Linked DNA regions of Alligator mississippiensis. The protein of the gene in region 1 purifies or fractionates together with the protein of each later gene. This does not show direct contact. Links are inferred from orthologs where the notes say so. Each region holds a gene or a part of one and is shown in the gene's direction. Other genes may lie near its edges.

What was found.
Region 2: the proteins of EEF1A1 (region 1) and EEF1B2 purify together in Homo sapiens (affinity purification with mass spectrometry; 3 studies listed by BioGRID and IntAct, counting the BioPlex papers as one, with this or other methods). This does not show direct contact. The link is inferred for Alligator mississippiensis from reciprocal best matches to the Homo sapiens genes EEF1A1 and EEF1B2.
Region 3: the proteins of EEF1A1 (region 1) and GAPDH fractionate together in Homo sapiens (co-fractionation; 3 studies listed by BioGRID). This does not show direct contact. The link is inferred for Alligator mississippiensis from reciprocal best matches to the Homo sapiens genes EEF1A1 and GAPDH.
Region 4: the proteins of EEF1A1 (region 1) and VARS1 purify together in Homo sapiens (affinity purification with mass spectrometry; 3 studies listed by BioGRID and IntAct, counting the BioPlex papers as one, with this or other methods). This does not show direct contact. The link is inferred for Alligator mississippiensis from reciprocal best matches to the Homo sapiens genes EEF1A1 and VARS1.

What each region holds. Positions count from the first base shown.
Region 1 is NC_081824.1:63,916,787-63,923,693, reverse strand, and holds the start of EEF1A1 (elongation factor 1-alpha 1), read left to right. Parts: upstream 1-3,893; 5' UTR 3,894-3,994; intron 3,995-4,532; 5' UTR 4,533-4,581; coding exon 4,582-4,725; intron 4,726-5,825; coding exon 5,826-6,005; intron 6,006-6,093; coding exon 6,094-6,390; intron 6,391-6,610; coding exon 6,611-6,761; intron 6,762-6,907. UniProt on the Homo sapiens protein: Translation elongation factor that catalyzes the GTP-dependent binding of aminoacyl-tRNA (aa-tRNA) to the A-site of ribosomes during the elongation phase of protein synthesis.
Region 2 is NC_081827.1:174,211,501-174,219,452, forward strand, and holds the start of EEF1B2 (elongation factor 1-beta), read left to right. Parts: upstream 1-4,949; 5' UTR 4,950-5,007; coding exon 5,008-5,087; intron 5,088-5,182; coding exon 5,183-5,305; intron 5,306-7,616; coding exon 7,617-7,743; intron 7,744-7,952. Other genes in the region: NDUFS1 (NADH-ubiquinone oxidoreductase 75 kDa subunit, mitochondrial), read right to left, coding at 2,788-2,851. UniProt on the Homo sapiens protein: Catalytic subunit of the guanine nucleotide exchange factor (GEF) (eEF1B subcomplex) of the eukaryotic elongation factor 1 complex (eEF1).
Region 3 is NC_081824.1:243,386,689-243,393,587, forward strand, and holds the start of GAPDH (glyceraldehyde-3-phosphate dehydrogenase), read left to right. Parts: upstream 1-3,883; 5' UTR 3,884-3,949; intron 3,950-4,183; 5' UTR 4,184-4,203; coding exon 4,204-4,226; intron 4,227-4,868; coding exon 4,869-4,968; intron 4,969-5,332; coding exon 5,333-5,439; intron 5,440-5,547; coding exon 5,548-5,638; intron 5,639-5,818; coding exon 5,819-5,934; intron 5,935-6,078; coding exon 6,079-6,160; intron 6,161-6,621; coding exon 6,622-6,777; intron 6,778-6,899. UniProt on the Homo sapiens protein: Has both glyceraldehyde-3-phosphate dehydrogenase and nitrosylase activities, thereby playing a role in glycolysis and nuclear functions, respectively.
Region 4 is NC_081834.1:57,717,884-57,725,701, forward strand, and holds the start of VARS1 (valine--tRNA ligase), read left to right. Parts: upstream 1-4,816; 5' UTR 4,817-4,915; intron 4,916-4,963; exon of another isoform or gene 4,964-5,015; intron 5,016-7,427; 5' UTR 7,428-7,435; coding exon 7,436-7,783; intron 7,784-7,818. Other genes in the region: U6 snRNA-associated Sm-like protein LSm2, read left to right, coding at 915-982, 1,377-1,407, 1,577-1,636, 2,048-2,173. UniProt on the Homo sapiens protein: Catalyzes the attachment of valine to tRNA(Val).

The sequences.
Region 1 (6,907 bases):
TGTAAGTTTGATTTCCTCCACTTCAGTATTCTGTTCCAACTAATTAAACGCTCCTCTTAATTCAAGTTGGAGCTTTCAGTTCTACTGCTAAAGATTAAATGGCAGTTATAGAAAGGAGGAGGGACAGAAGACCATTTTAACAAATACCTTGGACTCTTTGCCTGTCTTGTCTTGACTTGATTTTAAAGGTGTGTGCATAGAATGCGGGAAAAATCGAAAGTTGATTTACTAGTATTGTTAGAAGAAAAATCCATTATGCTAAAATTGACAGTTTTTCTGCATCTCTAGAAGATTGCTTTTTTTTTTTTTTTAAAGGCTTCTAAAATAATGAATGTATTTCTTAAAATCTTGCATGTCTTGCAACTGAAGATAAGCTGCTTGGTGTATTGAATTCATGGATTGAATCCCTTTTTCGGCTTCAACAAGTGAGGAGCCTTGTGTCCATATTAAGGGGTGTGATTGGTTTGAGAGTATTCACCAGGGATTTATTTAGCTTAGCTCCCTGTGTTGGATGAGAATGTGGCAGGATCCCAGTTTATGCAAGTTTTGCCTTCTCAGTAAAACAAGTAAGTACATCTGGAGGTGCTGCACAATAAACCCATATTGGATGAGAAAAACTGCCCCATCCTCTACTTTTGGTGGATGGCAAGGAAATTGTAGTAGTATCCTGTCAACAAGAGTTGCTGCTTATTTTGGTATCTGTCTAGCTGAATGGGTGCAACTGTCTCTGTCCCTCAAGGCCTCTTCCTTGCTCCTCCTCTTAAAGAATTCAACCTTTTTTCTCCCCGTCAAAACAGGGGCCCGCTTAGTCTTGTTTGGGACAGGAAATCAGGTTTTTCCCCTTTCCATAACTTTTAGATAAGGAACTTGGTAACTCCTAAGAGTGGCCATAGTGGCTCCTGGGGAGGGGGTTGGAATAAGCCTGCTTTTATGCACCTCTCCACCCTCCCACAGAAACCAAAAACCAAATGACAGTTCTCTGATTAGAGAGGAGTGGAGATATCCTCCCTTCAAAAGCGCAGGTCAACCCACTCAGAGCAACTGGCAGGGCAATAGGAGACATGGGAGAAGTCTGCAATGGAGAAGTGGAATCAAAATAGGCTGGAAAGGCTGGACGATCAGGGTATTCCTGTTACACCCTTTGCTTTTGTGCTGATATCCCATATGCCTCTTCAAGTGATCAAGAGACACTGTCTCTTGTGTTTTTTATGATACATAAGGAATGAATGAAAGAGATTCCTTAGAAGTAAAACCTTAAGTTGAGCTTTTAATACCATTTATAGAACTATTTATTTGTTTGAAAAACAGGTGATCCTTTTAATCTCTCCTCTCTCCCATTCTACACACCAAATTATACTAAAGCAATACCAATACATTCTCTGCTGTGGGTGCCTTTCCCAAACAAACTTTTATATAGAAACAGATGCCACCTACAAACTGAGATACTAAACAAATGCTTTGGGTGTAATTTCCAATGTTTTTATTAATATTTTGTAACTAGTTCCTGACACACTTCCCTGTAAGGTTACTGGTAGGCTTTCTGTCACGAAGCATCACTGTACAGTGTGTAAAGATTCTGTGTACTATATTCAAGGACTAGTGGGACTGACCTGGGTCGTAACTGTGGGGAAACTTTTTAAAGGAAGAAAAGATTGTGTCCAGGGCCTACTTGGTCCACCCGCTACCCATAGGTTTGTTAAGACAATTCTTTTATAGAAAGTACATGAGCAACAGCAACCACAGCATGAAGGAGGAGATTGCTAAATCAAACCAGTTAAGTTTGGAGATTTTAGATGCTGACACACTGAGTTATATGCACTGGCCGTACAAGTCACTGGTCACAAAATCAGTTCACATAACTATCGATGAACACACATGAATGTAGATTACCCAGTTTCACACACCTACATTTTCATAACTTGAGGCTTTATTCAAGTCTATACCAGACAGTCTCAGTCTTTTAGAAGTCCATACCGTACAGTCATATTGCCTAGTATCTAGAAAGTGCACTGAAAGTTTCTGTTGATGTAACCACGTAGTCCATGCCCTTTCATGGGTGGTTATACAAGGTTGGAGTTATACAGGTATGTTCTTCAGTGCACATTTTCCAGCAGGTGACGTTAATTTTCAGACTGTTGTACTACTGCGGGTGGAGTCTACATTTGGTTTATTTCTACATTGCCAGAAGTGAATCAGAGCCAAACGAGAAAATGCTAAGGAGGCATGAGCCATGTTAGAGCGGGCTGCTTTCCTGTTTCTCTTTCTTAGGCTCCTGATACACGTTACGTATATTAAGCAACTGACTAGTGCATCGCACAATAATTTTACATTGGCCACATGTGCAAAGTAAAACCTGTCACAAGTACAAAGTGATTATCACAGAACTGGTTAATTGTGCAATAAATCTAGACCAGCCACACATGCAAAGTAAAGATAAGCCATTAAAAATGACTGTCTGGCTAAAAGAAGAGGCAGCCAGCTACAAGCTTAGTGCTTGAAAATGCGTAACAACGCTATAGCTGGTTTCTGTCCAGCTTTGACTGTGGCAGGGCCCTCATTGTCTACAAAAATATGCTACTCCTTGAACTTCCTGGACCTTAAACGAAGGAGGCTGCACACGAGAGGAACAGGGGAAAACGCTGGCTGTGCCCCGGTCACTCAGTCAGCACCTGCTCTTTGCCAGTGTGGCCCAGACCTGTTTGTTGCACTTGGGGAACAGAAGCCTAGGCCCACCAAAAACTATAAGCCCCCCCCTTTAAAAGAAAGGCCACTGACAACTCAACACGACTGGTTTGGAGAAAAGACAAAAAAAAGGAAACAGAAAAGGATGTGAAATCACAAGTTCAAAACAAGGGATCAGAAGGGAACACCAAGCATAGCAGACTTGCCAGTGCCTGCTGCATGAAATGGGGTGCCTGTGGACACGGGCCAGTGAAACCGTGCCACAGGATGTGAGTGAAGACCACCCCACACTCACGTGAGTTTCCCAGGCCAGAGCCTGGCCTCATGCCTCCTTTGCTGTTAGACATGTTGCTGTCTTGGCCAGGGCCAGGAGGAGGTTGACCAATAGGTCCTGGGACATGGTGAGGCTGCAGGTGGCGACTGTGCACACGGAAAGGTGCAGCTCCAGCCTCCGCAGGACTTTCTGGGGTGAGAAGGGGTTGCAGCCTGGCGTGCTGGGGCGGGTGCGCACCGTCCGCCCCCCAGAAGAGCCATGAAGCATGTCTCCGTCCCTGGAGATGTTCACCAGTCGGCTGGACAGGCACCAGCCTGGAATTTAGGCCAGGTTTGCTCTGGCCTAAATGGTCCCGTGAGGCCCCTTCCAGCCCGGCCTTCCTACTATCTGCTGCCCGCCCCCAAAAGCAGGCACCAACTGATGTATCTCTGAGCGAAGGAACCGGTTTGGCTGCAAGTGAAGCACGCGGGGACCCAAGTCTGAGCCAAAAGAGGAAGTCTGCTCGGGGAGTCGGCCCCCACGGGGATCTCGCTTCCTCTCCCGAGGCGGCGGCGGCGGAGAAACGAGGGTGCCTCAGTCACCTCCGACCCAGCCACCGGCGAGGGCAGGTGGGAGGAGACGGGCCGCCTCAGCGCGGAGTAAGTGCCGCTCCCCGGGCTCCGAAGCGCGGCCCCGGGCGCCCCCTTGGGGACGCAGCGGAGGGGAGGGGGAATGGGGGATGGGCCGCGTGGCGGGGCCCCACCCGCGCAGGTGCTCTCCCGGCTGGGGGAGGGGCGCTCGGGCAGGGGCCGTCGTCAAAGTCCGGGCAGGGAGCGCCGACGTACGGCTCCGGGATATACCGCTGCTGACTTGAGGGAAGCAGCCCCGCCCCATCGCAGTTGGGCGGCGCTCCCTGCCGGCCCGGAGGGGGTGGGGAGGGGGAGCGAACGGAACGCTGGGAGCCGTGACGTATCCGTGGGCCCCGCCCCGCCAGCCTATATAAGGCCGGGCGCACACGCTGTCGGTCTTTTTCGCCACGGGTTTGCCGCCGTCTTGTAGGTAAGCCGCGGTGGCGCGGGCCAGGCCCGGGGCGGGCACAGTGGCAGGGGCGGGTGGGGCCCCGCGAGGGGGGGGCTCTGGTGGGGCCAGGGGCCGCGGTGCCGGGGAGGGGCGCGGGGGGCGCCACAAAATGGCGTCGGGTTCCTCGTGCCGGGGTGGGGGCGTAGCACGTGGCCGCCGCCCTTCCCCCCCGCCTCTTAGCGGGGTCTCAATTTTTCGCGGAGCGGGAGCGGGGCGGGGGGCGCGGGCCGGGGAAGATGGCGGCTCTTCCTGCCTGCAGGCAGCGCCACAAAATGGAGGGCGCGCGCGCGGCCCGGCCGGGCGGGACGAACCGCACAAAGGAACGGGGCGGCCCCGCCTTCCCGCGCCGCCCTGGCGCCGGGCCGCGGCCCCCTCCGGCCGGCGTGGGGGCGCTGTGGCCTGGCCGGGCCGCCGCCGCAAGGGTGGGTGGGTGGAGCCGCGGCCTTGCGTCAGCCGCTGCCCTCGTGGTCGCCGCCGCCCGGGCTCCGGGGTGACTCCAGCCTCTTCTGGCCCGCAGGTGCTGATTTTTCTGGGAGAAGGGAAAGCCTCACTCGCCAGCCGCCGCCATGGGCAAGGAGAAGACCCATATCAACATCGTTGTCATCGGCCACGTGGACTCGGGCAAGTCTACCACCACCGGGCACCTCATCTACAAGTGTGGCGGCATCGACAAGCGCACCATCGAGAAGTTTGAGAAGGAGGCTGCCGAGGTGCATCTGCGGGGGAGAGGGGAAGGGTGGTATGAGTGGGTATTTCCTGGAGTTGGGGGGTCTCTTTCATGTGCTTAGCAGAAAGCATTGTCTTGCCCAACTTAGAAAAAGTGCTGGTGAGGTGGCAACTGCTTGTCTATATGAGCCGGGAATCTTGTTCCAGGAGAATTCCAACCTCTGTTTTTAGCCTTGATGAACACCTTGATATTCTCTGCCCCCAAAATGCAGTTGCTTGCTGCAGTGTTGAAAAAGGCCGTGTCTACTCCTGGAGCCATAGGCTCCTAGAGAAGTCGAGCTGGGAGGGACCCCCAGAGGTTGTCCAGTGCATTGCTTTGTGCTTTCAAGCTACTAATACAAACAATAAGGTTGCAGCAGGGCAGTGTTGGGAAAGCCACCCTGCCTCCCCTCCTGTGCTCCCCCTGCTATAAATGGGGAACCAGGAGGAGCATGACTTGGCCCAACTTGTGTAGCTGGGAATTGTTCAGGCAGGCTGTATCAAATAGTTGATGAGTAACTGCTGTACTCCAAATTTACCTTTTTTAAAAGTGACTTATATGGGGCTTTGTCTTTAAAACTGAGTAATATTGGAGGATATTGCATTTGTTCCAAATTTATCATGCAATATCTTTTTTCTTTTTTTCTATTTGGACTATGCCTCAATAAGAATGACTCAGTAGGTGATGGCATTATGCTATCTGTGTAAATTCCAGAGGATAAACGCATACAGGCTAGCTGTGGGAAGGATTACAACGGTATGAAAACAAGCTTCCAGAGGACACTTGATCTGATGGACCTTGTGGAGCCAAGCTAACTTTAAAGATGTTAGTTGTAGTTAATGAGTTGTCCAGGGCTAAAGTGACATCAGGTTAAATAACAGAAGACAGATGGAATCTCTCACTAGTTGTGCCAAGTGTGTCTAGGCCAAAGCTGTGCTGGCAGCAGAAATCCCTAGTGCAGTAGAAGCCATCTGCCACTGTAGACTTTTTTTTTCCTGTCCCTTGGCTATCCTACAAATTGGGTTCCTTTTTAAAACTGCCACTTACAAAGTATAATGCAAGTATATCAATGACTCTTGTTTGTTTGCTTGTTTAATCTCCTAGATGGGCAAAGGTTCCTTCAAGTATGCCTGGGTTTTGGACAAACTGAAGGCTGAGCGTGAGCGTGGTATCACAATTGATATTTCCCTGTGGAAATTTGAAACCAGCAAGTACTATGTCACCATCATAGATGCTCCTGGACACAGAGATTTCATCAAGAACATGATCACTGGCACTTCCCAAGTACGTAAAATGAGAGAATTCTAGTGCACTTAGTTTTTTGTTCTTTATATGCATGTAAATAGAAACTTAATACTTCTCTTTTTCAAAGGCTGATTGTGCTGTCCTGATTGTTGCTGCTGGTGTTGGTGAGTTCGAAGCTGGTATCTCCAAGAACGGGCAGACCCGTGAGCATGCGCTTCTGGCATACACACTGGGTGTCAAACAGCTCATTGTTGGTGTTAACAAGATGGATTCCACTGAGCCACCTTACAGCCAAAAGAGATATGAGGAAATTGTCAAAGAAGTCAGTACTTACATTAAGAAAATTGGCTACAACCCAGACACAGTGGCTTTTGTGCCAATTTCTGGCTGGAACGGAGACAACATGTTGGAGCCCAGTGCTAATGTAAGTTGTTTGCTTATGGGGGGGGGGGTGTTCCCTCCTTTCTTTGAAGGGGACTATTGTGATACATTCTTCACCCTTTAGATGAATCTATGCACCTCAGTCATATTAGGCTTAGTTTTTAAACTGATAATTAAGTTACTTGGATGTGTTTTAGGATATTAGAAATGGATTTTTTAGGAAACGGGACAAATTTTAATGGTTGCATCTTATTTTGCCACAGATGCCCTGGTTTAAGGGATGGAAGGTCACCCGTAAGGATGGCAATGCCAGTGGCACTACCCTGCTTGAAGCTTTGGATTGCATTCTGCCACCAACTCGTCCAACTGACAAGCCCCTGCGTCTGCCTCTTCAAGATGTGTACAAAATTGGCGGTAAGGTGTTTTTGTGTGTGGGGGAGGGGAATAGGTTGTACCTTCTCCTGTATCTAATTTGTTGGTGACATTCCATTCCATAAGTTTAAAAAAAAGTGGTAGTAATTTCCCTTTTAGTGAGAGACTGTAACAAACCGGTGTGAAGT
Region 2 (7,952 bases), on another chromosome or scaffold:
GTATTGGAAATTAGATCGCTATCGGCAGATATGCCTCCTTAAAAATTGGCTATCAGAATCAACGCAAAAATCTCTATCGGTGCACCCCTATCATATATGTGACTGTGTGAAATGTCTATCCTGGATTCATTACTATAGTAAATATTTCTTTGCAATTAACTTGGGTTTATGTGCCGGAAGAAACATTCTCCATATGGAGTTTGATAGGCATCTCCTCTTGATTAACTCTTGTTTCGTCTCAGTAGTTCCCTTGATCTTCCAAGGACAACTCTTCAAAAATGTTGAATTTTTCCCAGTTGTTAATCAATTTCCTGATATGTTGCAACTCAGTACAGATTGATAAACCTCCCGTTACTGGGGAAGGTCATTCAATTAAAATTGGGACTTTCTGATAATAATGAACAGTTAGGAAAACAGGATCTTCCTGTTTGTTATGGCTTGGGTTTCTCTCTTTATTTACACAACTACAAGAAAGCTTTGAAGATGCTGAGCTGCAAGTTATAAGAAAGGAATGAAGCAGCTAACAGGGGGCACTTCAAGAGTGAGAAATCATTCAACACAAGAAATGCTACTGAGCCCAGCTGACCTGATCTCACTGGCAACAGATCCATGCCTTGAGCTAACAAGACTAAGACCGCCTCTTTGCCTGTGTTGGTGAGATACTATCACTTTTACAACTATATATACTGGATTTTGTTTTGCTTTAAGATCATTTAATAGTGAATAGTTGTAGTAAATAAAACCTCTCTGTCATTTATTGAACAAGTTATATCAATCCTTTATACACTAGTCCTTAATCCCATTTTATAATTTAACAGCAACCTCCTCTTCTAGATAATGGTTTTTAAGTGTGTCAAGCCCATACATTCCAGTGCCTCTGTACTTTACTTTGTCTTCCCACTTTATTTTCAGGATCTTACACAAGTATCTCAGGTGGAAGCTGTTCAGTCTCTTGATGTGCCTAGCATATGCAGTCCACATTTCTGAACCATGAAACAGGGGTGACAGCACACAAGTCTCGTCAATTTGAATCTTTACTTTAAATGATAGTTTGCTATTATTCCATGTGTGTTTTTGTAAGAGGCCAAAATTCTTAGCTGCTTTTTCAATTCTGTCAGTTCAGTCTGAAGGTCAGGATTCCTGCTGATAATAGATCAAGTAGCATAATGCGAGTGACAACTTTCCTGATGATGTTCAACTGGGTTGCTTCTGTCCTCCTTGTTTTTGTATAATTGTACAAACTGAGCATCTCTGAAATCTTGTGATACTGCTTCCTCTTTCCAACAGAGCAGCATAAGTTCATGGAGCTTTTGAAGTAATTTGTCACTGGCACAGTTTTAGATTTCAGCAGGCAAACTGTCATTGCTGGATCTCTAGTTCCCAGGAGTCGATTTAAAGGCTTTCTATAAATCTTCTAATGTAGGTTCACTGTCCAAACCCATCAAACTGTGGTAACCCCCATTGCTGCATCTATTTAATTCATCATCACGGTCAGAGCACACGCACAGAATGGTTTTGTTATGTTGTTTAGTGTCTATGCGCCTACTCTTCAAGCTAGTGATGAAGACAGGAACGTGTTCTACCAACAACTTGGAAATTGAGAAAAAACTCATAGAAACAAGACCATTATAATATTTGGTGATTTTAGTGCAAGAGTTGAATGCAGTTTTGAGAACTGACCTGGTATTCTGGGCTAACATGGAAGGAAACATGAATGAAAGTGGCCAGCAAGCATTAGGACCCAGTACAAGTCAAGATCTACATGTCACCAACACCTACTACATATTACCAACACCTGCTCATGATGTCTACCCACAAGACAGACATCATGGAAACATCCAAGATCAGGATCACTGCCCACTGGCACCAACTAGATCTAGTACTAACCAGGCACAACCACCTAAGAAATCTGCATGCAAGGTCTTAACACATCACTGACTATAGCAGCAGACTAAGGTATGGTCAATGTTAAGTCAGAATCAATGCTAAAAAGATCCACTGTAGCAAGTCATCCTCAGATTGATAATCAGCCAAACTAAAGATGCAAACTATTCAATGAAGAAGTTGTGAAAACAAGTTTACCTAACAACTCATCCACCAAGGCTTGTGGAAACTTAAAAACTAACATGTACAATGCTGCTATAACAGCATTTGGGGGGGGGGGGGGGGGGAGGAAGGGAGGAAATGCTAGGTAAAATGCAGACTAGTTTTAAGAGCACTCTGAAACGCTTCTATCACTGGTTGGAAACAAAAGGACAGCACTAACCATCTGCAAGTCATCTCCCAAACCATAACCCTGGAAACTTTGAGAAAGGCTCCAGGAGAAATGCAAAAAGAGGCTAAACTGTGTGCCCCAGATTTTTGGCTGAAGCACTGATCATATTCAGAAAGCAGTTGACGCAGGCGATAGCCACAAAACGTACGAAAGCATCAAGCAAGCAATTGGTCCAGTCAAGAAGAAAACAGATCCACTGTAAGACTTGGACGGAAATGTCATCACTGATAAACAAAAACAAATGGAGTGTTGGATTGAACACTATGAAATTCTGTCCTCCAGGAAGACTGAAATCAAAGCATGAAGAGCTTAAAGGATTATCAGAAACAAAAATAATTCATAGTTAAACAACTGGAATGATCTGAAACAGCCTCAGCTAGAAGATCATTCTCTAAAACTCAGTGATGCATATGAAGCCCCTCTACACATAATATAACAGTCGAAACATTCAGTGCTTTCTTTAAACACAGTGCATCAATGTACGTAAATGTATAAAATAAAGGCCAACTCACCACATCCTCTGCTGGACTGAGTGACACCAGCTAGGGCCCTGCGGACAGCAGGTAGTCGCAGCATGGTGCTGGGAAATACAAGAGAGCAATTAGTGCCACAAATTTCTGCAGTTAGAAAACACTAACATTTCTGTAGATCCCCACTGTACATCCAACAGCTCTCTACTAAGCTTTGACTACATTTCTAGGGTAAAGGCAAAAGAGCAGCTCCCCACTGCAACTCATAGTGCTTTGCAAGGAAGCACTTTGAGTTGCAAGGATCCTCCGGACCCAAGAGAAATTTACTGTTGTGTCCTGGACCCAGGAGTTGGGACTCCAGTTGTGTGCTGCAGACCTGCAGCCCAGCTTCTGTAGCAATGCCACTCCCCCCTCCCCGCCTGGAGGCTGTTTTCAGAAGGGGGGGGGGAAGAGGGAGGAAGAAAGAGAAGGGAGCAGAGGGAACTCAGGTTTCCCAGCTCCAATCCACCCACCCCATCCCAAAATGCCTGCTGAAAAAAACCCAGACCAGACTCCCTCTGCTCCCTCTCCCCCCTCCCATTCTGAAAACAGGGACAGGCTGGAAGCTTTACAGACACAAGTTATACAACATACTCTGATTTGGAGCATGTTCATTTGAACCCTCATGCAACAGGGTTCATCTGACCCTCACCCCTCATGCAGTGAGGGTTCAGACTGTCGTGGGTCCTTTTAAAGTGATCTGCAGCTGTGCACTTCCATTTGGTTATGGCTGTAGAGCGCTTTCTGGGGCCAAATCAGGCAAAAACTGTCACTTCTGTCTGTGCCCCAAAGAGCACAGAGACCACCTGAAGACTGAGGGGAGGGTACAGACCTTCTTTTCTAGATCTGAAGCTGGCCCAACTTCTGCCCTAACAATACAGCCAGTTAAATGAGACAGCGGTTCTCAGCCTTTTTTGCACCAGGACCCATTTGTTAACCTCAGTGGCCAGTCCTGATGCCCCTCACTCCTGGCCTGCTGCCCCCCGCCCCCAGTGTTTATGCCAAGCAGCCCCTCACAGGCTGCAGCTCTGCCAGCCGGCAGGGGAAAAGCCAGTTTCCCACGTCCTTCTCCTTTAAAGGAAAATCCATTTTTAAAATTGACCGATCCATTTTTAAAGCTTGTTCACAACCATTTTATATATTCTTGCGCCCCTGCTTTGGGTCGCGACCCACGCGTTGAGAAACGGTGCGAGAGGAGGTCACAGAAGGGCCCCCTCACCGCTACAACATCCAAACCCTCCTACAGCAGCACTGCCCTGTCACGCCGCCCCCCCCCCAAAACAAACCACTGGGGGGCTGACTTCTCATTGTGTTCGTTTTCCATTACTACACTTATTGAGTAAAAATATCTATATCTATATATAGATACAGATATAGATATACACACTGTTCACAGTAAATTCAGACTTAAGGAAAAGCTGTTGCCATCACTGGCCGCCGCAAGGACGCTCCCCTCCGGCTGTCAAGGGCACGGAGCGGCCGGGGCGCAGGAGGAGGGCCCGGCCCGGCTCGGCCCCCCACCGCGGCCGCGGCCCCGCCCGGTACCTCGTGCCGCTGAGGGGCGACGGAGTAGCGGCCGCGCGGCGCGGCGCAGCACTTACGACCACTGCGGCAACTCCAGCTCGCAGGGCCTGGATGGCGGCGGCTCGGCTGTTTCCGTCCCTCCCCGGACACCGCCTCGGCAATTTCCGCCCCCCCAGCGCCGGCCTCGGCAGTTTCCGTTACTTCCCGGGACGCGCAGCCTCAGCCATTCCCGTCCCCTTCCGGCGGCGGCTCGGCAGTTTCCGTCCCTCCCCAGAAGAGGCGGGTTCGGCAGTGTCCGACACCCCCCCCCCCGGGAACACGCGGCTTCGGAAGCTTCCGCCCCCTCCCACCCTCCGCCAGCCCTCGGCAATTTCCGGAACCCGCGCTCGGCATTTTCCGTCACTTCCTTGCAACCTGTTTTTGAAAATCCCTGTCCCCTCAGTGGAGCCGGCCGAGCACGCTCCAGAGTTGAAACCTTTCCTTCTGCTCCTGTTTTCTTATGTTCGTGTCCGGTAATGCCCTCTCCCTGCTCTGAGCGGAGCGGAAGACGAAGGCACTATTTCTCCGCGGAAGGACACTATAGTGACGAAACTAAATGGAAAAGGAACCTTCCGCCGGCGCCTATATAAGGGGGGCGTGAGGAGACGGCGCCCTCTTTGCGCAGTGGGTGCTGTCGGAGTTTGGCCTGCTGTTGCCATCATGGGTTTCGGGGACCTCAAGACCGCTGCAGGCCTCCATATGCTCAATGACTTCCTGGCGGATAGGAGCTACATTGAGGGGTGAGCGCTGCTGAGGGGGGGAGTGTAACCGGCCCGCGGGGTCGGGCCTCCGCGCCTGCGCCGTGCGGGGCCGCTCTGACCGCGCGTCCCCTTAGGTTCGGGCCGTCCCAGGCCGACGTCGCCGTGTTCGAGGCCGTGTCTGCGCCGCCGCCCGCCGACCTGTGCCACGCGCTGCGCTGGTACAACCACATCCAGTCCTACGAGAAGCAAAAGGCCAGGTAGGATCTGCCTCCACTCACTGCTTCTCTGGGAGCAGCCCCCCCCCCCCGCGCAAAAGGCGTGGGTTGTTTTATTTTGGGGGGGGGGGTTGCCTTAAATGTTGAGCCTGTGTGTTGTCTTTGAAAGGTGCCAGCTTCGCTGCTGCTGTGGAGCAGGTAGGGTGCGGGCACTGGGGTGGCCTGGCCAAGATGGCTTGCTTCTGCCCTGGACAGCGTCACCAAGTCTTAAATAGGAAATTATCTTATTGGAAGCTCAACGTTGTTGTGCTTACTGAAAAACTATATTGTATGCTGAAAAAGTAGGCAAATCAATACGCAAATACATCTTATTTGCTGTAAATTGCCAGTGAGTGAATGAGAACTGGGTCACCAAAGTTGAAAGACTTCTTTATTTTGAGGCAAGCAGTCAAAAGAAGGTACTGACAGCAAGCTCAAAAGTCCTCAAGAGTGATTTGGGCTTTGCATATGCTGCATTAGTTAGCAGCCTCAAAAATTATTGCACATTTTGAACACTTCTGCTAGTATTATTGATCTCACATTGTACAAGGGTATGAAATTATCATAGATATGATAATTATACACCTGGCAACGCTGGCCCTGGGATTCTGCACTTCTAGGTCTACCCTTATTGCACATGCGGCGTTCAGGGGCTCGGCTGAAACCCCAGCACTGGAAGACGGGCTTTGTGGCCGCTCATGCCTTGAGCAGCATGACCTTCTATATACACTGCAAATAATGGTTTAAAGGTTATACCAAGGTGGGCTGGATTTTAACCAGGTTAATCCAATGCAACTGAGTCCTTTTGTGTTTCCATTTGAAAATCATGCACGTACAATAGCTGCTCGCTAGTGGCTTTTATAGCTTGGTCTCAAAGCCACCTGAGCCAGGAGCACAATAATTACAATGGCTCTTAGGAAAACCTCATATTGGACTATTCTCCCTGAAGGGTTAAATCAGACAAGTGACCAGTAAGGACACTGTTCTTGAGGGAAATGAAAGCAAATGTGTTCTCTTCTTTTTTTAGTGAATTTAGTGGTCATGAAAAGTGCCGTATTGACAGCCATGGAGACTGAAGTCCTCCCTAGAAAAGGTACAGCATAGGCAGTGTTAGTACGTGCCATTTCCACATTGCCTCACCAAGACCTGTTGTAGAGATGGATGGCTTGGTCTCTTATCCATTCTGTCCTAGGCTTTTCTTGATGTTACAGCCTGTAATACTATTTAATAATTTGTTAGTATGTGGGTTGGGGTGAAATTGTAAAATCCAGTTCACAAGATCTGTAAAGAACGTAATGTACTGTAATTTCTTCTAGCCGCTCAGAAGGAGAGTGCTTTGTCATTGGCTTTTCTAATGCCTAACAGTCTGATTAAAAAAAATAAATAAATCCCTAAAGCAAACCCCACAATACTGTAAATGAAAGCATAAGACAAAACTATGCTCTTATGGTGTTAGTGGCTACATCTAGAAAGACTAAAGCAGGAATTAAATCATAGTTCAAAAGGTACTAGAATGAACAGGCAATGTAAAGTTGCATTCTAGGTTTTCTAGCAGTAGATGGAGCTATTTGAACTGTGTTTGGGTTTCAGGAATATTTAGTTCCTGTTAGGTTCTCCTTGGTTCCTCAGGCATTTTAGTTTATCCTTATTTACATTATAGGCTTATGGTTGTGTGGGGTAGTATTGGGAAACTACCTCATAGTTAGAACCAACCTGTCAGTAAAACCCAAGGATTTGACATTGTGATAAAACTTTTGATATTACCATTCCCACTGAGGCTTAATTTTCAATAATGAAGCATTTCCTTGAAAATATTTCAGTGGGGAGTGGCAGTGCTTAATGTGCTTCAATTTAATGTAAAACATTTTAATTCTTAAATTTGATTTGATGGTGGTTACATTTTTTTCTGTAATATATCCCATCACTTCTGCACTTGGAACAGCACAGTAAAATTTGCAGAACTCCTCTTGGTACAGGGTTGTGTTCTGAAGCTTTTGGTTGCTGCTCTTATGTGGTGTACTCTAGGAAATCCAATTACCAGGAGCAAGAGTTGCTGTATGCATGAGAGGTTTAGCTTTCTATGCACATTAAATTCACCATATTCGTCTAAGCAGCATGCTTTACTGTGGGTACACTTGTGGATTGGAATCTGGTGCTTCACTTCTGAAATAGTGACATAATTAAGGTTTGAGTTTCATTGTTAGGACAAGAAATATTTACTGGAGGTTTACAACAGAATCAAAACCTCAGTAAAACTGAAATATATACATTTTTTAAATCAGTTATCTTTAACAGACTCTGCTCTCTTACTTAGTTTGCCAGGAGTGAAGAAGGCTTTGGGGAAATACGGTCCTGTTGATGTTGAGGATACCACAGCTGGTGCAGCTGCAGATACCAAAGATGATGATGACATCGATCTCTTTGGATCTGATGACGAGGAGGTGTACTAGCATTTATTTTATTTATTTGCTATGAGTTTTTGTTTTCCCAGCTACCAAAATTCAGTTATAGATGCATTTCTTTTTTTAGTTTATCTTTGCTCTGTTGGTCTGTTTAACATCTTATAAAGGTCATAATTTGTTTGAATCGGAGAGGCTCTCTAAAAATAGTCTTCTGGTGGAACTGACTGCTTGCTGAATGGGTGTGGGGA
Region 3 (6,899 bases), about 180 Mb from region 1:
CTATGAGCTGCTTCAGGGGCCTGCACTGCAAGGGGTCCCTTGTTGCTCCCTCAGAAGCTGTAGTGTTGATCTCCACTTCCACGTGGTGGCTTTGCAGGGTTAATTGCAGCTTTTGTCAGCATATCACACCCCAAAGTTTCTAGTCCTAATCCTAGCTCTACTGAGACAGGAAACTGCAAGAGAACTCAAAGAAAAGCCAGCCAAACAGCAAATGAGCCTGAACTGCAACTAGCGCCAACCACGCTGCTTGGTCAGGACAAAGAACTGCAAAAGCAACAACATGGGTCAGCCCCAAACCATGCCAGGCCTGAACATGCAGCAAACACACAGCAGGGCTCAGCGACACAGCTAGGCTGAGGCACAACAGCTATAAAACAATAAAAGGGGGGACCCAGGCCTGTCCTGCACCTCCTGTCCTGAACATACAACAAAAGAGCACCAGGCCTATTTGGCTGCGGCCTGGACATTTAGTCTCAGCTACACTGCTATGCTGAGACCTAACAGCTATGAAACAACAAAAAGGGGTCAGGCCTACTTTGGAAAGGACCTGAACTACAACTAGTGCCCAACCATACTGCTTGGTTTGGGCATAAACTGCAAGAGGGACAAAAGGAGGCCCAGGCCTATTTCACTGGACCTGGACTGGGCAAAAAGCTGGCCAGGCCTATACCACACTAAAGCCTGGATAAACAACAAGAAGTGCCATAGTCTCACCCTAGCCCAAATCTGCCAGCCAGTCATATGGCTGGGGTTCAGCCACCTCAACTGGGCTGAAATGCAATTGCTGTGGAACAGCAAAAAGGGCTCAGGCTTATAGCTCCAGCTTGGACATCCAGTCTACCATGCTGAGACACTACAATCCCCAACACAGGAGGTCAGTAACTGCCAAAACCCCATTCCTGGTCAGTCTGCTCTAGGGATTAATACACTAATGATGCCATCCCACTCAAGGCCCGTGTGGCCAAAACTGCCATCAAGACATACAGCTGGGGTTCAACCACACATCTAGGTTGAAACCAAAAGGAGTGTAACCACAACTTCTACATGTCAGGCTCTTAGGCCTGGCCAGGAGCTCATCAGCAAAACTGCCAGGCTCCAACTCTGGCTAGTCTGCTGCATGGAATTGATACCCCCACTCCCCCAATGGTATCATCTCACTCAAAACCCAGAAAACAAAAGGGGAAAGGAGAGGGAGAAAACAGGGGTCTCAAGCCCTGAGACAGACTTTCTCTTCCTGTACCTGAGGCTTCTCAGTCACACAGCTTTTACTTGCTTCTCCACTGAAGAGGGGAGAGACATGACAGCGCCCCCCCCCGGCCCAACAGGAGCAGGTTTTCCGACTCCCAATTCAACAGTACAGCTCTCAGCAGCCCCAGGAGAAAAGAGCCCCCAGCCTAGGTAGCCTGAACCTTAAATAACTTTTCTGACATCATTACAGGGTCCCAATCAAGAAACAGCATCATTTAAACACTGGTAATGCAGACCAATGTATTCAAAGGTGGTCAGTGCTCCTGGATGCGCTCAGGAGTCACTGAACTGGTTTTACTAGTTCTTTTAAGGAATCTTAAGACAATGGTCAGGACACAATGACGGGGGAGGGAAGTGGGCCTCTTCCAGTCTCCAAAAAACACACACAACTACCAAAACCACACTTTACCACACACAACCCCAAGTGTGTGTGGGTGTTACATAAGTAAAATGCCAGCAGCCCAGTGCCTGGCCCTCATGTAGCCTTTTACTACATCCATTTTGATACTCTTGCTCCATGAGTCCTACAGAGGGGAAGGGTCAGCATTTCACAGCCAGCAGATGGCAGCAGCATCCCAGCTAGGCAGGCCTGCTGTTCTCTCTGCGCAGTTCACCTGTGGAGTCCGGTGGAGTGGCTTCTCTCTGTTTCTCACATATCAAGCACGACCTTTCCTCACTCCTGCACCAATGCCAGGAGAGCAGCTAAATCCAGATCTATTCTGTACTGGGGAAAGACTTCCCAGTTCTGTACCATTCAGTTTCTGTCACTCCCTGTCTCACTCTCTGCTTCCCACAGACACTACACCATTGTGCTAGGCCCAGTGGCTGTCCCTGGCCTGGTCTAACACCCTTATGTAACAGCCACTCCAACATCATTCCCTTGATTCACAGTTGCCAAATCCCACGGCTGACTCTGCCCGACTCTGTCATCCTTCCTCCCCAAACTTTCACAGTCACAGACGAGTGAAAGAGGTCTGTGGGGAGCTGGCTAACAGATCACTGACCCTATGTGTGCTATTACGAGGTGCTGGGGAACACATCTTCTACTTCCCTGTGCTCCATGTTTAGCCCCTCACTCCTGCCACCCCAGAGGAAGCTGCTTTCATGTTGTCAAGGCATGAGACAAGGGAGTAGCATATCTCAACCTACATGTACTCCAAGCCAGAGAAGCAGGAATGTTGACTGTGGAGTATGTCCCTGCGAGCTCATCTTGGCTTGCCCCAACTGGAGCTTTGGCTACGGAAAAGTGGTTGAAAGGTTGAGTGGGACAACACTAGGGCCAGAGAGGTTTGCAGTTGTCATGTTGGCTGTTCTCACCTGCCCTGTGCCCCCTGCACAGAGTCCTCAGCAGCATTCATGTTTGCTCAGTAAACAGTAGGCCTTGCAAATGTGCTAGTAGCCTGGAGCCACCTTTTGTCACTGTTCTGCTCCCCCTAGCAGGCTGGGCCTTGGGGCTGGCCCCTTTCCTGAGGGAGGAAGAGGTGCCAGGATTGTCACCCCCTCCCCACTGACCCCTCCACAGGGTTGCAGCATAAGCCATCCATCCCCATGGCCTTTAAGTAAAGGTCACAACCTCCATTGGAGCTAAACTTAGCTGTCTACTTCTTTGGCAGCCCTGGGAATAGTAGCTTTGCAAGGGGAGTTGGGTTACGCCTGAGTGAGGTGACCTGTCTGCAGACCCCCTTGGTATCTACTCCCCATCCCCCCCACGCCACGCCTGCCCTGCTGTCTCTCATGCCTGCTGCCAGCCTGCTCCAGAGGTTCCTAAACAGGGCCAGGCAGGGGGGGGGGGGGGAAGCCTGCTGCCCCTCACTACATCTTCTCCTGAAAGATTGCTTCATCTAAGGCAGGTATGGCTATATAGGATAACTTGGCAACATTGCCAGGATCATATCACAAGAGTATTTAATAGTGTTAAGTATAATCTAAATATCCCTTAAGTATCTAAGTATCATCTAAGTATCCCTTAGATTATGCTTGCATGTCTTCAAGTCTTCTTTCACAAAACACATAGCACACTCGCTCCTTAGTGCCTCAGGGTTCACAGCAGTCTTATGCTGGGTTTAGCCCATGGATGGTTTGGATAGGGGTGACCCTGGCTCAGGCAGTGCTGGACTCCATGATTCCTGGAGGTCCCTTCCAGCCCCGCTTCTCTGACTCCATCCCTTCCTGGTGCTCTGGGCTCCAGGTGCCCTTCCTGCGCCAGCGTTGCCCCCCAGGGCCTGGGGAGCTGGAGCCCGCATGGCAGCGCCGGGGCTAAGCCGTGGGAAGGCCGAGCGGCGCGGGGACGGGGCACTTCGGCCAGGCCACTGGGCGCTATCGCGGCCCTGGGCCGGCGGGAGGATTTCCGCCGTCACGTCCCGCAGGGGGGGGGGGGGCGCACGGGGCCCGAGGGGGCGCCGGGGCTGCGTCCCCCGCCCCCGGCACGGCCCCTGCCCGAGGGCGCGTGGGATAGGCACACACCTACCCGCCTAGGCGAGCAACCCCAACCCCAGTGCGCCCCACTCCCCCGTCCAGTGCCCGCCCGGATCTGGAGGCAACGCCAGGCCAGGCGAGCTGAGGCGCACGTAGCCCGGGGCCGCCCCCCGACGCTGATTGGGCGCGGGCCGCAAGGGCGGGCCCGCGAGTCGCTATATATTGGGGTGGCGCGGCTCGCTCCCACCTCCTCACTGCACGTCGAAGCCGAGCTGGGTCAGGCCAGGTGCGCGGGGCCAGGGCCAGGGCCAGGGCCAGGCGCGGCACGTGGGTGTCCGGGACTGGCCAAGGGGCGCTGCCTGCCTGTGTCCCGGGCGGGGCAGGGCGGGGGCATCGGGCTGTGCCGGACGGGACGGGACGGGACGGGGTGGGGTGCGGGCGGGCTCAGAGAGGCGGCGAGTTCTGGGCTGCGGCCTCCGGAAAGTGTCCGCGCTGGTCTCACCGCCGCTTCCTCCCCTAGGAGCATCTTCCAGAGACAAGATGGTGAAAGTCGGCGTAAACGGGTGAGCGCGGGGCGGGGCTGGGCCGGCCGCCCGGGCTGTGCTTCCCCCCCCCCCAAGGACGTGTCAAGGTCGTCCCGTGCGGCAGCTGCGGCCGCGGCGCCCCCCGCCCTCCCGCCTGTCGGTCCGCGCACGCGGCCCCTTGTGCGCGGCAGCCGCGGCCCGGTGGGGCGGCCGCTGAGTCACTTCCCCCCCACCCCCCTCTGGGCCACGCCGGGCTGAGTCACACGAGCGGGAAGCGCCACCGCCTCGGGGCAGCACTAGGGCTCTGCCCTGGGATCTCCTGCGGCTTCCTGGCCCCCCCCCCCAGGATCGCGTGTCTGCCTGAGCCCTGAGGCCCCGGGAAATGCGACCTTATGGTGCTGTAACTGGAGCTGCTGTCCCAGGCCCAGTAAATTTAGTACCTGACCTTTCTGCAGTGGACCGGGCCGGTTAATCTCCAACTTCTCTTGCCCTTTGGTCTGCTGCAGCTGGGCAACCCCCCCCCTGCTGCCCTGCGGCCTCTCCTTGTGCAGAGGAAAGGGCAGCTGCTTCAGGAGTGGCACCACAAATCTCTCCCTCCCCAGACTGCAGCACTCCTTCACAGTGTCCCCTTCCCACCCCTCGATGTGCCTGGGCCTCAGTTTTTATTTCCCCCCCTTCCAGATTTGGCCGTATCGGCCGCCTGGTCACCAGAGCCGCCTTCAGCAGTGGCAAAGTTGAGGTCGTGGCCATCAACGACCCCTTCATTGACCTCAACTACATGGTGAGTGGGATCCCTCCACCTTGCTCTCCCTCCCCAGCCCACCAGGTTTACTGGCCTTTGGCCAAGCTGCCTCCCTGCATGGCGAGAAGGGAGGGAAAGCAGTGACTCTCCAGTCCCTCCAAAAGCCAAGCACCATGGGCACATGAGGTGTGGCAGAGATTACAGTGAAGGGCTGCTGGCTGGCCTCAGAGCCATATCAAGGGAGCCAGACCCAAGCAAGGTCTTTTCAGGAAGAAGCAGCAAGCTACCCTCAGCCAAAAGGGTTGGCAGAGCAAGGGGTGTTGGAGCCCGGAGTGGCAGGGGATTATTGGAGGGATACAGCCCACGTTTCTGACATTGCTCTTTCCCCTATCCCACCCACCAGGTTTACATGTTCAAGTATGACTCCACACACGGTCGCTTTCATGGCACTGTCAAGGCTGAGAATGGAAAACTTGTGGTTAATGGGCATGCAATCACAATCTTCCAGGAGTGAGTGTCCCTTCCCCTTCCCTTTCCTTTTGCAGCTTGGGGCACAGGGTGATGTGGAGGAGCAGAATTTAATAGCTTTTGGATATTAAACGATCTCTTTCCTCTCAGGCGTGACCCCAGCAACATCAAGTGGGGAGAAGCTGGAGCAGAATATGTTGTAGAGTCCACTGGAGTCTTCACCACCACAGAGAAGGCCAGTGTAAGTGGTGGCTGTACCTAGGGTGGATATGTGAGAGGAAGGGTTTAAGCAGGGCGATAGCTCTGTCTTAAGCAAGAGAATGTGTTTGAATGACTTCAAGGTGTGAGGAAGTGTATGACTTGCATGTGTGTGGTATCCCCTCATACCTGGGTAGATAAGAGTATTCTCCCTCTCTCCTAGGCTCACCTGAAGGGTGGTGCAAAGCGTGTGATCATTTCTGCCCCCTCAGCTGATGCACCCATGTTTGTGATTGGTGTCAACCATGAGAAGTATGACAAGTCTCTGAAAATTGTCAGGTGAGGAATGGGCACCTGTGCAGGACAAGTCTGAGGTGCAAAGTGGACCCCAGTGAGGTAGGGAGTTTTGCTCCCTGCCTGTGCTCTCCACTGGGGGTTGGCCCCACCTGCCCCAGGCTGATGTCTTGCTCTCCTTTCCCATAGCAATGCCTCCTGCACCACCAACTGCCTGGCCCCCCTAGCCAAGGTCATTAATGACAACTTTGGCATTGTGGAAGGTCTCATGGTAAGTGACCTGGAAACATCAGGCCTGGAGGGTAGAAAGGGGAGAGATCTGTTACAGAACTTTCAACCAAGGGGTTGGCCATAAGAGTAAGGGGGCAGTGATGGGGGGTGGTCACTTTTTTTTTTTTTCTCCCCCCACAAGAGGTAGTACAGTTGCCCATCCTGGTGAACTTCAAAAAGTGTCTTGATGCTCATCTTGCTGGGGTCATCTGATTCCAGGTCTTTCCTGCCCAAGTACAGGGGGGCTGGACCCAATGATCTGTAAGATCCTTCCCAGCCCCAAACAACTGAAACTAACAGGCCTGGCTTTGTGGGTGGGGGTTGTTGATCTAGTAGAGTAGGAAGGGTGATCCTTCCTATACCATCTGGACACTGGGGAAGGTAGGGGCCAGCAGGTAGCTCAGGTAGTGAGGTGAAACTCCAGGTGCATATACTGTATTCTAACTCTGTCCCACCTTCTAGACCACAGTCCATGCCATCACAGCCACACAGAAGACTGTGGATGGCCCCTCTGGGAAGATGTGGCGGGATGGCAGAGGCGCTGCCCAAAACATCATTCCAGCATCCACTGGTGCTGCCAAGGCTGTGGGAAAAGTCATTCCTGAGCTCAATGGGCGAGTATCTCCACCCTCATCCCCAAGGGTTACCTGCATGGGGGAAGGAGGGCAGGATAAGCTACAGCTACAGCCTCCCAGCAGGCTGTGTCAAAACCCTAGTTGACCTGGGAATCATGGATGCAC
Region 4 (7,818 bases), on another chromosome or scaffold:
GAACGCCACACATGGACCACGGGGTCCAAGCCCTCCACTTCCTGACGGCTGCCTGCTGGCTGCTGTGCAGGGGGTGGTGTTTATGGAACTGCAACCAAAAGCTAACCAGTCTCACTCCATGTCCCCAAAATTGACAAGGCTAGTACGTTTTTTGGGTAGAGCACCTGAAAATGCATCGTTGAGTGGCAGAAAATTGGGGCAGTAGGAGCAGTCTAACCCAAAGGCCACCCCCCCTCCCCCCCCAGAAAAAAAAACTAAACCAATCACAAATTTCATTCCTAACCTGCCCCCTGCTGTGATTTAGTAGTAGAAGATCGGGATGGTTAAAACTGTTATGATGTGTCTAGCGTTTTTTACTAGTTATAGTACATTAACGAATTTTGAGTGTTATACATGTTACGTGCAAAATAGTAACGGAAATCATTGTAGTACATTGTGAAAATGAAATAAACCCGGAGATTATCTTTAGCTAGAAAAAGCCAACATTGTGTGCAGGCACCCACAGTGCCCAGGCTGGGGGCGGGCAGCGCTGGCGCAAGAACTGAGCTTGGTGCGGGACAGGGCCCTGCTCAGACTTGTTCAGAGCATGCCGTGGCGGTAAAGACATGTGGTTTGGGGCAACCTGGAGAGGATTTGACCCCAGAAACCCAGCTGCAGATCAGGTCTTTTTGGTGCTGTGTCCTTGAGGCATGATGCTATTTTAGGTTGTCATAAGCAAATAGATCGTTTTGGTGCCACCTGGATTCTTTGGCTGCTGTACTTTGCTGCTAACAACCTTCAGCTGCGTAAAGACTGGGTCTGGGAAAGGGACCAGGACCTGGAAGTAAAGGACCAGCTTCAGCCTTGTGCTCGGGGTGGTGGGGGGGCTGTGTGCCTGCCCCAGGCTGAGCCCTGCCATTTTTTCCCCTCCACAGCTTTTCTACTCCTTCTTCAAGTCCCTGGTGGGCAAAGATGTGGTGGTGGAGCTGAAAAACGACCTCAGGTGAGCGGGTGCCTACTTTAGGCCTGGGGGGTGCCTTGGTTTCTGGGCTCCCAACTCCCCCCTCCCCTCCAGGCTTTCCCCACCTAGAGCAGAGGGAGAACCCAGAGCTGGGAGAGAACCCAGGTGCCCAGGTGTTTGGGCTCCCAAGTACTACCCCCTCCACACCTCACTCGGCTCCCGGAGCAGCAAAAGAACCCAGGTGTCCGGGCTTCCAGCCCCCTGCTCTAATGCATCTGCCCCCATCTCCAGCCAAGTGCTGGGAGAGAACCCAGGTATCTGGGCTCCCAACTCCCTCTGCTCCCCAACCAGACTCCACTCTCCCCCCACAGCACGGAGAGAACCCGAGCATCGGGGCTCCCCCTGCCCCACGAACTAACCCCCTCCTCTATTGCAGCATTTGTGGGACACTCCACTCCGTAGACCAGGTAGGACCTCTTCTCCCCCCCATGCCCCTCAATGATTCAGTCCCTTTAAAGGGCCACCCCTCCCCCCCAAGCTGCTCTGCAGCCAGCTAGGAGGCTCCAGGCCTCTACCTCACAGCACTAGGTTCAGGGCCTGTCTCTCTGTCTGTCTGTTCTTCCCACCCCCTCCCAGTACCTGAACATCAAGCTGACAGACATCAGTGTGACAGACCCTGAGAAGTACCCACACATGGTAATGGCCAGTGGGGGGACACAGGGGTTAGGCTTGGGTGTGTGTGGGAGGGCTGGGTTTGGGGGGTGTGGGGAGGCCAGGCTTGGGGCAGGGGGGTGAATTGAGGGGACTGGAGACTGGGGTTTAAGGGGCTTGGAGGTGTGTGTGGGGGGCAGGCTATGGAGGGGCTTGGAGGTTGCAGGGGTCTGGGGGTATATGGGGAGGCCAGGCTCTGGGAGGGTGCTGGTGGCTGGGAGTGTGGGGGGAGGCCAGGTCCTGGGGTGGGGACTGGCTTGGGTGGGGCTTGATGATATTGTGAGGGGCTGTCTCACTGGCTGTGGGGGGTCCTAGCTTGTGGCTGGAGCACCCTGGGGGAGGTGGAGAGTCCCCCAGCTGTGGACACTGACCCTCCTGCTCCCCCCCTCCCCCCAGCTGTCAGTGAAGAACTGCTTCATCCGGGGCTCAGTGGTCCGGTACGTGCAGCTGCCAGCCGACGAGGTGGACACACAGCTGCTGCAGGATGCCGCGCGCAAGGAGGCGCTCCAGCAGAAGCAGTGACCTGCCCCCCCCGGATGCCTGGGTTCCTGCCTCAGACCTGAGCAGAGCTGGAGCCCACGTCCAGACCTCCCCACACCCCTGTGTTCCTGTCCTGCCCCCCCCCCCCCCCCCCCCCCCCCCCACACCTGGGCTAATAGCTCAGAGGTGCCTGGCTCCTGCACTGTCTTGAGCAGCGCTGGAGCCTACATCTAGATCCCCAGACACCTGGGTTCGTGCCCTTCCGCACACCTGGATCCCTGTCCTAGTCTTGAGCAGCGCTGGAGCCAACATCTACCTCCCCGGACACCTGGGTTCCTGCTCCGGTCCTGAGCAGAACTGGAGCCATATCTAGGTCCCTGGGTGCCTGGGTTCTTCCCCCCTGCAACTACTGGGGGGGTTCCTCTTACGGGACCCCATCCCTTTTTTTCACCACACTCCTGAAGGCCCCTATTTTAGCCTGATCTTTTGTTGCACTGAGTTTTCTACCCCTCCTTTTGGTTCTTTTAAGGCAGGGTATCTAGTCTCCCTGCCCCCTATGGGATAGAGTCGAGGGTCCTGGAGGGGGAGGGGGTTCCAGCACCTGGGGGGCAAATAATCACATGGGGGCATCTTTGGGGCCTTGTCTGTGCATAGACTTGGCAGTGGGGTATTAAATTTGGGTGTCTTCAACCTTTGATTTGTATCAAGGCTTGTCTGGGTCTATGGGGCGGGGAGGGGGGTACTGGCCATGGTCCTGGACATCTGGGTTCCTGGAGCTCCCCCAGGGCCTCGCAGCTAGGAGGGACTGGAATGGGGGGGGGCTCTAGGCTCTAAGCTATGAAGCTGAAAAAGGGGTGGTGGTTACAATGGACTAGTCTATCTGACTTGCAGGGGGAGTGGAATGGACTAGTTTATGTAGAATGGTCTAGTCTACTTTAGATGGTTGGGGGGAGGGTAGAGTGGACTGGTCCACCTGGCTTGGATTGTAGGGGGTGGACTGGACTAGTTCTAGCTTGGCCTGCAGGGCCTACGGTGGACTAGTCCATTTGGCTTCTGGGGTAGAAGGGTTCTAATCTAGTTTAGACTACAAGGGCGTAAAGTGGACTAATCCATTTAGCTTTGTAGGGGTTAGAATGGACTAATTCAAATAGTTAGGATTGCATGGGGGTTTGGAATAGACTAGTCCATCTAGCTTGGCAGGCAGGGGGTAGAATGGACTACTCCATTTAGCTTTGTAGGGGGGTAGAAAGGACTAGTCCAACCGGCTTGGACTGCAGGGGGGAGTGGAGTAGCTCATTTGCCTTGGTTTGTAGGGGGAAGCGTAGGTTGATCTATCTTGCTTGAAGGGGGGGGAAATGGTGTTTAGACTGCTCCATTAGGCCTACCTCCTAGGGGGAGGAGTTCAGCCGGACTGATCCACCCGGAAGAGACTGGCGAGGGGGAACTTGGGGGTTTCTCCCCCCACCCCCCTGCCCCACAGCAGCCAGCCCTAGGGCCTGTTTAGCCTCATCAAGAATCCCCTGTGCCACACTGGGCTGCCTGGGGGTGGGAATGGACCAGCCCATCTGGCCTGGTCCATTCCCCAAGCTGGGGTGAGGGGTGTCTCCATCCCACCAGGGCTGGTGGTGGTCCCCTCTGCTCTGGTTTTATGCTCCCACATCTCAATAAAAGTGTTTTGTAGCATCCAGTCTCCCCTCTTCTTTCCTATCCCGGGTTGCGGCCCAGCTGCCCGGGTTCTCTGTTCAGTCCAGGGGTGGCCTGGGGTTAAAGCGGGAACCGGGACGCCTGGGTTCTCCGTTTATTTCGGGAGGGGTGTGGGCACCGCACACCCCTCCTGTTCTCTCTGCATTTTAGGGGCGGGCAGAATCCCGCCGGCCAGGCACTCCCGTCTAGCCCGCGGGGCCCGGCTGTGGCCTGGAAGGCCGGGGGCCCTCGCTGCCCCTCCGAAAGCCGGCGTGCATGCCGCAGCGCGGCTCTGCTCGCTGAGCACCGAGCACCCACTCGGCCCACCTGACCCGACCCGCCGCGGCCCCGAGCCAGGGGCTGCTAGAGACGAGCGGCTTCTGCCTGGCACAGGCTTTTGCTGGCCACCCCACGGCAGCTGCACCAGGCCGGGAGCCAGGGAGTTTGCACCGCGCGATGCTGCGGGGCAGTCAGCTCCCTTGTAGACGGGCCGCTGGCTCTCGCACCGGGGAGGGAGCGGGGTGGGTGTGGGGACTACAGAAGGGAGGGACACCTGGGCTCTCTGGGACCCTCCCAAAGGAGCCAGGTGTCCCTCCCAGCCCCCCTTCTCTAATGCCCCATTCCCGCAGAGACCAGCCCAGTGTCACGTGGGGAGTGGGGCCTGGGGGTGACAACAGGGGCTGGGGCCAGGACAGCCGGGCTCTGCCCCCGGCTCTACGCAGCCCCCGGCCCGCAGAGGAGCGCCCGTGAACCCAGGCGCCCAGGGGGCGCTATGACACTCTATGAACCTGCCCAAGTGCACGGCCTGCGCTGTGGCCGCTCTATCCACCCCAGCACCTTTATGCCTCCACGCAGCTTCCTTTCTACAAGGCCCCGTTTTGCGAGTATCCTAGCTAGTGCCTGTCCAACTAGATAAACAAAGCCACGCCCGCATTCATGCTAAAGAGGGGCACGGCTAAACCCGACCACGCCCCTCCAGCTGCCTAGTGAAGGCGGAGGGGGCGGGGCTGCGTGGCGCGGCTCAGGCAGTGCTGTGGTCAGCCCCAAGTGGGTCCTTGGAGTGTAGAGCGAGGCCGGGCGGCACACGTGGGGCTCTGGGAGGTAAGAAGGGGGCGGGGGGAGTGGTGGCAGGACCCCCTGTAATCCCCCACCCCCCAGAGCGTTGGAAGGACCCCCTGCAATCTTCTCCCCCAGAATTGTGGTAGGACCCTCTTTAATGCCCCCCCGCCCCTCCCAGAATTATGGTACGACTCACTATTATCCCCCTCCCGGATTATGGTGGGACCTGCTGTCATTTCTCCGTCTCCCCCGGGAATTATGGTAGAGCCCCTGGACCCCCCCCCCCAACTACCCAGAACCCACTATAATTCCATCCTCCAAATTATGGTAGGTCCTCCTGTCACTCCCTCTCTTGAACTGTGGTAGGACCCAGTATCCCCCCCCCCGAATTGTGGTAGCACCCCTTGTCATTCCCCACCTATTCCCAGAAGTATGGTACAACTCACTGTTAATCCCCCCTCATTCCTAGAATTATGGTATGATCCACTAACCCTCCCCCCCCCCCCCAAGATATAGTAGGGCCTACTGTCATCCTTCACCCTTCCCCACCAGTCAAGGTAGGACTCACTTATCTCCCCTCCCCCCCGAATTATGGTAGGAGTCTCTGCCATTCCTCTCCCTTCCATACAGTGTTGGGAGGACTCACTATAGCACCCCCCTGCACAGTTATGGTGAAACCACATATAATTCCCCTCCCTGCAAAATTATGGTATGACCCACTGTAAACCCCTCAGAATTAGCATAGGACTTACTGTAATCCCCACCCCCACCCAAGAATTATGATAGAACCCCATATAATCCCTCTCTCACCCCTGAATTATGGCGGGGCCCCTGGCCTTCCCCCCAATGATAATACAACCCACTAATAATACCATCCCCAGAATTACGGTAGGGCCCTCATATTCTTCTTCCTTTCCCCTAGAATTGTGGTACAACCCACTATAGCCCCTCAGAATTATGGCAGGATCCCATATAGTTTCATAGTTGGTAGGGTCGGAAGGGACCTGAGCAGATCATCAAGTCCGACCCCCTGCCATGGCAGGAAAGAGCACTGGGGTCAAACGACCCTGGCTAGGTGGCTGTCTAGCCTCCTTTTGAAGACCCCCAGGGTAGGAGCGTTCCAGATCCTATCTGCCCTGACAGTGAAGTGGTGCCTCCTGATATCTAATCTGAATCTACTCTCCATTAACTTATGGCCATTGTTCCTTGTTACTGCCGGTAGTGCTCGGGAGAACAGGGACTCTTCCATTGCCTGCTGGTCTCCGTTTGCAAGTTTGTAGGTGGCCACCAGATCCCCTCTCAGCATTCTCTTGAGGCTGAACAGGTTCAGGTCCCGTAGCCTCTGCTTGTAGGGCCTGCCCTGCTGCCCCCTGACCATGGTGGTGGCCCTCCTTTGGACCCTCTTGATCCTAGCCACATCCCTCCTGAAGTGCAGTGCCCAGAACTGGACGCAGTACTCCAGCTGCGGCCTGACCAGTGTTGCATAGAGGGGGAGGATCACCTTGGCCCTGCTTGAGATGCATCTGTGGATGCATGACAAGGTGCGGTTAGCCTTCCTGACCACATCCTCACATTGTCGGCCCATGTTCACCTTGGAGTCTATAATGACACCAAGATCCTTTTCTGCCTCTGTGCTTTCAAGAAGAGAGTTCCCCAGCCTGTAGGTATGCTGCTGGTTCTTCCTCCCCAGGTGCAGTACCTTGCAGCTTTTGTTAGACTGCAATAGAGAAGGAAGAACTAACAGAGAGATGCACCAAGAGGAGCAGCATGTCAAAGTTACAGGCTAGGAAAATAATGTTTACATCAGCTTTCTGGATGGATGTGAACAGAGCAAGGCTGCTTGCATCAAAAACAGTACAAAAAAGATGCAAATATATAATATAATCTCCCTACTCCACCAAGATTATGATAGGATCCCTTGTCATTCCTCCCTTCCCCCCCAGAATTGTGGTATGACCCACTATAATTTCCCCCTCCCCCCAGAATTATGGTACCCCCCAATTATGGTATGACCCACTCTAACCCTCCCCCAGGATTATGATAGGACCACTTTGTAATTCCCTCCTCGCCTTCCCCCAAATGATGATACGACTCACTATAATCCTCCTCCCCTCTAGTTACAGTAGGACCCCCTGTAATTCCACCCTCCCCTTCCAGAATTATGGTAGGACCTCCCTACTCCCTAGATTTATGGTACAACCCACTATAATTCCCTCCCTCCTCCCCAGATTACAGTAGGACCCACTGTTATAGGGGGCATGACTGGACACCTGGGTCCCTTTTGGTGGAGGGTGTCCATGGGATCGCATCAGCTGGGACACAGGTTCCTAGGAGCAGGGGTGGCGTTGGGGATCAGGGAGGGGGATCAGAGCAGGGTGGGGAGCTGACAGCCTGACTGTCTGTGTTCTCTGCCGCTGGGAATGGGGAGCTGCTGGATTGGAGTTGGGAGCCTGGACCCCTGGGTGGGCCCCAGGAGCTCCAGTGGGTTACAGCAGGGGGTGCTGGCAGCCTGGATGCTTGGGTTCTCACCCCCTTTCTTTCTCCCCTGTCCCAGGCCTGGACATGGCCACGCTGTTTGTGTCCCCCTGTGCCGAAGATGTGGCCAGCCGGCAGGCGCTGGTGGTATCGCGCTTTGCCCCCTGTCCACCCCGTGTGGTGCCTGTGCCCGATCTGACACCTCCTGGTCCCTTTGCCCTGCCCCGGCTGCCAGCATTGGAGGATCCAGGGGGGCTGCGTGTGACCGGAGCCACCGCTGTCACCTTCCTGCTGGCCCCCCCAACCCTGCGTGGCTGTGGCCTGGCCCAGGCCACTCTAGTGCGCCAGTGGGTGGCCTATGCCCAAGCTGATGTGGCCCCTGCTGCCACCGCTGCCTCCCTGCCCCACCTTGGCCTGGCAGCCCTTGGCCCACAGGTAAGCCTCCATTCTGTGGGAGGGGCGTGGGGGTG